Sus scrofa: one gene and its partner. The protein of the gene in region 2 interacts with the protein of the main gene of each other region in a biochemical or structural test. Links are inferred from orthologs where the notes say so. Each region holds a gene or a part of one and is shown on either strand. Other genes may lie near its edges.

Region 1 (4,485 bases), about 52 Mb from region 2:
ATGGATACTAGCCGGATTTGTTTCTGCTGTGCCACAATGGGAACTCTCATATTATGTTCTTTTTTTTCATTATTATTAATTTTTTTATGGCCACACCTTGGGCATATATAAGTTCCCAGGCTAGGGGTTGAATCAGAGTGCAGCTGCCGGCCTATGCCATAGCAATGCTGGATGAGAGCTGCATCTTCAACCTACACCACAGAGGCACAGCAACACCGGATCTTTAACCCACTGACTGAGGCCAGGGATCCTCAGGACATTTTTCTGGGTTCTTAACCTGTTGAACCACAACGGAAACTCCCTCCCTGTTATGTTCTTAGTTTTTCTAGGGAACTGTAAAGGGTCATATGGAGGACTTCTGCTTTTTTACAAAACTGCTAATGAAAATAGTAACCATTAGGATGTGTTTTTTAACTAAGACATGCTATAAATTTATCTCAATGCTATAACAAGTTTGTATCTCTTTTTGATATGGTATACAGTGTTACAGTGTTTCCTTTCTTGCTTTGGCTGTTAGGAATTTCAGGATTTAGTTCCACCAAAATTTTCTGGCTTTCTTTCCATAGCTTTCTCCCAATTCATGGGGATCAATCTGGACTCTTTTTTTGCTTTTTGTCACATCCGGGGCATATGGACGCTCCCAGGCCAGGAATCGAATCTGAGCCACAGCTGTGGCCTGTGGTGCCACTGTGGCCACACTGGATGGAACCCATGCCACTGCAAAGACAATACCAGATACTTAACTGCCATGCCATGGTAGGAATGTCTGGGCTCTTAAACTTATATATATATATATATATATATTTTAATAACATATGCATACGTGAATTAATTAACTATAAAAAACACAAGTTAAATCACTTACCTTTTCTTTAAGTTCTTTGTATTGTAACTGAAGTACCTCTAATTCAAAATTATCTTTAACTGGAGCACTTTCTCTCTTTTTCCCTGTAGGATTTTTTGGCATTCCATCTAATCTGGGGACCTTTTGAACATCTGTAAAAAACAGTTCCCATGTACTTTTCAGGACCTAATATTTTTCCATTTTTACCAGACAATGCTGAAAATAATCACTTTGGAAAGCAAATTAGAGAAAGATATAGTAAGCAATATAGGTATTGTCCAACATAAGAACATAATTGAATCCTTATGAAAGAACAGATCCTGCCAACCTCTCCCCATTCCCCATCCAATTTTTTTTTTTCCACTTATGGCCACACTGGTGGCACATGGAAGTTCCCAGTCCAGGGACTGACTGCCTATGGCACAGCTGTGGCAATTCCAAATCCTTAACCCACTGTGCCTGGCCAGGGATGCAACCTAAGCCACTGCAGTCGGATTCTTAACACACTGCGCCACAGCAGGAATTCCTTCCCACCCCTTTTTAAGAGTCTTACCTAAAGTTGAAAGGTGCTCTGGTCTCACTGATCAGAACTCAGAGGTCTATTATCAACAATATTTACTGAGGACCTACAATATGCCAGGCACAATTTAGCCTCAAAAGAAAGGTACAGTGGTGAGCAAAATGGATACAGTCCTTACACTCATGCAGCTTACATGGCAGTAAAAAATACACGAATAAATGTAAAATCACAATTGTTATAAGAGCTGCAGAAAAGAACAAATATAGGAAAGCCCATACTAGGAGATTTGATCCAAGTGAATGATTGGAGTGCTTCTGTAGGGAAGTGATAACTGAACTGAGAGCTGAAGAACAAGCAGGAATTAAGCAGGTGAGTGGGGATGGGGAATGGATGGAAAGAATACTCAATGCATAAGAAACAGCAATGTGCAGTTTCTATATGGTAAGGAGCAGGGAGAATTCAAGGAATGAAGCGAAGTCAGTGAAGTCCCACAAGCCTTCACTTATTTCCCACCTAGAATGTAAGCTCCATGAAGGAAGGGGCTTCTGTCTTTTGTTCACTGTTAAGTGTCTGCAGCTCTTAAAGTTTGGCACCTCATACAATTTATTGGTTGTATAAAAGAATGTCTCTTCTACCTCTTGCTACTTCCAAGCCCATCTTATCCTTATGGGAAAAGGGAAAAGGACCCATGTTAGAAGGGGTGGGAACTAACAGCTCAGGCTCATTCATTCATTCATTTCTCAGAGAGCTCTTAGGTGTTTTTGTCCCAAGTGCTTCGTCACATAGAAATGCGTGAGGGAATTCCAGTTGTGGCTCAGCCGTAACGAACCCAACTAGTATCCATGAGGATGAGAGTTCAATCCCTGGCCTCACTCAGTGGCTTAAGGATCCAGCATTGCTTTGGCCGTGACATTAGTTCTAAAGCCACTCAAACCTGTCCTAAGAATGGGTCCTCATGTGTAGGTAGTAATGGTGGGGGTTCTGATGGCAGTGGTAATCATGTTCCAAGGATCCTAGTGGTCCAAACTATAGGAACTAAAGTAAAATGTCAACCTAGCTTTCTATATTTTAAATAGGCTGTCTGACATTCCTGATATATTTCTCCCCCAAATCAAAGGACCTTTTCGGGCACAACCGCTGCTTAAATCAAGCTGTTCCTGTATTTTTAAAAGGTGAAGGAGTAATGTGGGTGCAAGACACCGTGGCAGCGGTCGCTGAGGGATTCCCCAGTCTTCTAGGGGGTCTGGCAAGGGCTGCATTATCCTCGGGGGAAAAGGCCCCGAGGCGCACTCACTGGACATGTCCCGACCCGTGGTCGGGCACTGGCTCAGGGCCTGTGACGCGAGGGTGTCCAGCTCCTCCAGGTCGTCGGCGGTGAAATCCCCATGGGCGCCGAAAGGGTCTTCGGGGTCAGGAGCGGCGGCCGCTGGGAAGCCCCGGGCCCGCTTGCTCGGAGGGTGCCCGGGGCTGGGCGGCGGGCCAGGATTGGGTGCCGGGGGTCCGCTTCGCCTCCTGCTGCCTGGCGTGGGTATTCCAGCCATGCCTGCCGCCGGCCAGTCTCCGAAGGAACGGAGTCCGGCCTCTATCCAGGAGCGGGGACCAACCGCTCGCGCGCCGCCACTTGCCTCAGCCGCTGTGCCACGCCCCGGAGCCAAGGGGCCAATCAGCTGCCAGTTCTTAGGCGCGGAGGGATGACATAATCTGAGCGCGCTACTGCGCTCAACTGAGTGTCTGCCTATTTGTTCTCCGCCTCTGGGCCCCACCCTGTTTGCTGCTCAGGTACTGGCGGTTAGGACTCAGTGGGCCTGGCGGGTGCTTTGTGCAATGTGAGCCAAGTTAACCTGGGGTGACTCACCAGCCCCACCGCCGGGGTGGCTCTGTGCCAGCTTCTTGACATCCCATAGGGTTTGCTGTGCTGGAGGAGTTCGCCCTCCTGATATTCACAAATTCATGCCCGGACATTCACACGCGTGAATCGAGGCAGGCAGCATTCACATTCAGGGTCCTTGTGACCTGACTGTCCTCCAGCCTGAACCACTTCACATATACCTCGAGGCTTTCTTGGGGAGGAGTCTTGGAGAGGGGGGCTGGGCTAGGAGTATGAACAGCGCTGTTGTGAGCACACATCTTTTTGAGAACAGTAAATGTTTTGAATGTGTGCATTTGAGGTAGGTCAATAGAAAAAAAGGAGTAAAGGAATGATCCTGAGAAGAGTGTGTCTGTGTTGGAGGGGGTGGGAACTAACAGCTCAGGCTGTTAATATTCATTCATTCATTTCTCAGAGAGCTCTTAGGTGTTTTTGTCCCAAGTGCTTGGTCATATAGAAATGCATGAGGGAATTCCCATTGTGGCTCAGCGGTAATGAACCCGACTAGTATCCATGAGGATGAGGGTTCAATCCCTGGCCTCACTCAGTGGCTTAAGGATCCAGCATTGCTTTGGCTGTGGCATAAGCTGGCAGCTACAGCTCGGATTCACCCCTACCCTAGGAATTTCCATATGCCGGGGGTGCAGCCCTAAGAAGACAAAAAAGAAATGCATGAGACTCAGTTCAAGGCAGGCCCCCTTAAGTGTTACCTGGGCTGTCCTACAGGTTCAGTGGGAGTTTTATCAAGAGTTAGCAAGGAGGATGGCACACAAGACTACTCAAACAAGGACTTCCTGTCATGGCTCAGCAGAAATGAACCTGACTAGTATCTATGAGGACGCAGGTTTGACCTCTGGCCCCACTCAGTGGGTTAAGGATCTGGTGTTGCTGTGGACTGTGGTGTAGGTCGCAGACACGGCTTAGATCATGAGTTGCTGTGGCTGTGGTGTAGGCCAGTGGCTACAGATTCAATTTGATGCCTAGCCTGGGAACCTCCATATGCCACGAGTGCTACCCTTAAAAAAAAAAAAAAAAAAAAGACTACTCCTCAGACAAGAATATGACACTAAAATGGAGGTCACACAAGTGCTAGGCAGAAGTTATCTCTGGCTAAGAGGGAAGGTGTTAGAGGGGACTTCTGGGCTTGAGTGGCTAACAGGATTTTGTTAGGCAGCAGTGATGTGCAGGATGGTTAACAGGAACGGTGTTGGAGAGGAACTGGGGCAAAACTTTTCATTCTTGCATGCCCAGAGC
Region 2 (3,819 bases):
ACAAGGCTTTTGCGGATTGCAGCAACTCCATCCTGTCATGTGTTACACAAGAAAATCTGTGAAGTCATCTGCTCATTATTGTTTCTTTTTAAAAGCAAGAGTCCTACTATTTTTGGAGTACTGACAAAGGAATTATTACATCTTTTTGAAGACTTGATTTACCTCCACAAAAGAGATGCAATGGGACATTTTGTGGAATGGCCAGTGGTAGTTAGCCGATTTTTAAGTCAATTAGATGAACATGTGGGATATTTACAACCAGCTCCTTTGCAGTTTATGAACATGCAAAATTTAGAGTTTCTTGAAGTCACTTTATTAACGGTTCTTATTCGTATTATTGCAACTGTGTTTTTTAGAAGACAAGAACTTTTACTTTGGCGGATTGGTTGTGTTCTGCTAGAGTGTGGTAGTCCAAAAATTAAAGCCTTAGCAATTAGGCTTTTAACTGAACTCTTTGAGCTTGGAGGACTACCAGCACAACCAGCTAGCACTTTCTTCAGTTCATTTTTGGAATTATTAAAGCACCTTGTAGACATGGATGCTGACCAGCTGAAACTCTATGAAGAGCCATTGTCAAAGCTAATAAAGACATTATTCCCCTTTGAAGCAGAAGCTTATAGAAATATTGAGCCTGTCTATTTAAATATGCTGCTAGAAAAACTCTGTGTCATGTTTGAAGACGGTGTGCTTGTGCAGCTTAAGTCTGATTTGCTAAAAGCAGCTTTATGCCACTTGCTGCAGTATTTCTTTAAATATGTGCCAGCTGGGTATGAATCTGCTTTACAAGTCAGGAAGGTGTATGTGAGAAATATTTGTAGAACTCTTGTGGATGTGCTTGGGGTTCAGGTAGAAGCAGAGGTAAGTCTTTTTTAAGATTACTTGTTAAGTATGTATTCTGTTCTTCATTGTATGCATATATGCAAATGTAATAATGAGAAGATAGAGTATCTTTAATAATACAAATGTACATTCAAAATGGGATGATTTTCATAATCTACTTTGGCTTCCTATTATGGATTTTTAATTGGATTTCAGAAAGATTTGTTCACTACATTGGTAATGAACTGCCAAGGCAGTAGAATGTTTTAAAGTAGAGTTTGTTGCCTTATTAATTAAAAGAGGGTCAGTTATCAACTTAATTGCAAAAACTTTGAGCACACACATGGATTTTTCTTTGACAGGTTGTAACAATTACTTTTAGAAAACCTATAGGTATATAGTACTAGTCATGTCAAATTATGCCCTTTTTTGGAGTATGGGATACAGGTAGTACAATAAAATAGATATGCAATAAGTTGATTAAATAGTTTATTTTATCTGTAAGTCTTGCTAAATTTGTAGTATGAAAGAAGTTAGTGGTTCCCTTTAGGAATTAAGAATTTTTCTTTGTGCCATTGTGGTCAAGTGAAAAACAGATTAGAGAGAGAAGGAGTTGTCTGAGGCTATCTAAGACTATAGAACCATAGTTCTAGATGTAGAACTATGTATGTGTCTATTTATAGACTCTGAAATAGTATAGATTAACTTAGGTCTTTGTTTTGCTTGATGAGACTGAAAATAGTCTCATCAAGCAACCTTATTAAAAACCTTATGTGAAATCTTATAACTAATACCTAATGCATTTTTGCTATCTGTGAATAATATAAACTTACCTTAAAATTATTTTTGCTTCCTCAGTATTTGTTGGGCCCACTTTATGCAGCCTTGAAAATGGAAAGTATGGAAATCATTGAGAAGGTTCAGTGCCAAATTCAACAGGAAAACCCCAGCAGTAATAGTGATGGACTATCACCCAAACGGCGTCGACTCAGCTCATCTCTAAATGCTTCCAAGAGAGCACCAAAACAGACTGAGGAGTATGACCTTGATTCAGTTTGTATTTAGCCACTTAATAAAACTTTATTCACTTAAAAATCACCTTAAATTCTTTGACTTAAATACACGGAGTGCATTTTTTTTCTTTCTATAGGTTGTCAAAGGAATGCTTAAAATATTTTAATATTTCTTTTTGTAGTCTATTCCAGTATAAAAGATTTCATGGCTAATTTAACTTTTTAACACATGAAAAATCTTGAGATGATAGATCAGCTATTTTAAAAATGTTAAACTATTTTTTGTAATGTAGTCAAAGAATACTCATTTTTCAGCCAACTGTAAAAGTTGTTTTAAATTTCAGTAGTTGCCATTACATGCTGTCTTTTGTTTTAAGTATTTTTCATATGTGAGCAAAATTTGTATTGAATATGAATACCTTTATACTCTGGTTATAATTAATTACAGATTTAAACATGTGGATGTGAACAAAAAGAGCATATTATGGAATTTACTGAAACAGAAAGCTGAATCCCTTCAGAATTTCCTTGAATTCAATAATATGAAGAATCCAGTTATTGAGACATTAGAAGGAATCTCTGTCATCCTACAACTGACTGCTCTGTGTACTGTTCATTGTTCTCATCAAAACATGGACTGGTAAAACAACTTGCATTTTCTGGGTGGATTTCATGTAATAAATTTGAATTTATTGTTTTAGGAGACCTCTTTACTTGATTTTTGTGACCTTGGAACACAAACTTTTCAGTGAAATAAAAATTTTTTAGGAGTTCCCTTCATGGCTCAGTGGTTAACAAACCTGACTAGAATCCATCAGGATGTGGGTTCAATCCCTGGCCTTGCTCAGTGGGTTAAGGATCTGGCATTGCTGTGTGCTGTGGTGTAGGTCACAGATGTGGCTTGGATCCTGCATTGCTCTGACTGTGGCATAGGCTGGCAGCCGTAGCTCTGATTCGACCCCTAGCCTGGGAACTTCCATATGCCTCAGGTGCGGCCCTAAAAGGCAAAAAAAAAAAAAAAAATTTCTTTTAAGCATTCCCATCATGGTTCAGCAGAAACAAGTCTGACTAGTATCCATGAGGATGCAGGTTGGATCCCTTTCCTCCCTGAGTGGGTTAAGGATCTGGCATTGCCATGAGCTATGGTGTTAGGTTGCAGATGTGGCTCAGATCTGGCATTGCTGTGGCATAGGCCAGAAGGTATAGCTCCAATTCGACCCCAAGCCTGGAAACCTTTATATGCCATGGGTATGGCCCTAAAATGATAAAAAAAATTTTTGATTAAGCACTCACTAAATGCCAGGTACTGTATTAAGTACTATACATATCTTATTTAATCTTTACAACAGTTTTATGAAGAAAATGCTCTTATGTCCATTTTACACATTAGAAATTGAGGCTCAGAGAAATTGAGGCCCTTTTTTGTTTGAAGCCTAAACTAACTTTCCTGGGCATATATGATTACAGAGTAGAACACATTTTTATACATTTCAAAAGCCAGTGCTCTTCTAACCAAACATTTAGTCAAAAGACCTTTGCCCGTCAATAAATAAAAGTAAGAATTTAGAACTCGTTAGGTGTATATTTCCAGTCTAGTATCTTAGCATGAGGTAATTATTCCATCAGAAGAAACAAAGTGTGGACCCTCTTTGAAGATTTAGTCTTATTTTTACTGCCACATTATAGACTAACACTCCTTGTTCATTTTTTACAAGATCATTCATTCTGTATTTCCTGACTCACACTTAAATAGTTAATACAAAGTTATGAAGGAGATTTTTAAAGAACTATAGGGAGTTCACTACTGGGCTTAGCAGTAACGAACCCAACTAATATTCATGGACATGGATTAGATCCCTGGATTCGCTTAGTGAGTTAAGGATCTGGGGTTGCCATGAGCTGTGGTGTAGGCTGGCAGCTATAGCTCCAATTCGACCCCTAGCCTGGGAACTTCCGTATTGTCGTGGGTGTGGCCTTAAAAACTATA

What was found.
Region 1: the proteins of ATR (region 2) and ATRIP form a complex in vitro, tested with the Homo sapiens proteins (4 studies listed by BioGRID and IntAct, with this or other methods). The link is inferred for Sus scrofa from reciprocal best matches to the Homo sapiens genes ATR and ATRIP.

The regions. Positions count from the first base shown.
Region 1 is NC_010455.5:31,158,369-31,162,853, reverse strand, and holds the start of ATRIP (ATR-interacting protein), read right to left. Parts: upstream 3,006-4,485; 5' UTR 2,906-3,005; coding exon 2,659-2,905; intron 997-2,658; coding exon 866-996; intron 1-865. UniProt on the Homo sapiens protein: Required for checkpoint signaling after DNA damage. Required for ATR expression, possibly by stabilizing the protein.
Region 2 is NC_010455.5:83,272,895-83,276,713, reverse strand, and holds part of ATR (serine/threonine-protein kinase ATR), read left to right. Parts: coding exon 1-858; intron 859-1,677; coding exon 1,678-1,856; intron 1,857-2,280; coding exon 2,281-2,472; intron 2,473-3,819. UniProt on the Homo sapiens protein: Serine/threonine protein kinase which activates checkpoint signaling upon genotoxic stresses such as ionizing radiation (IR), ultraviolet light (UV), or DNA replication stalling, thereby acting as a DNA damage sensor.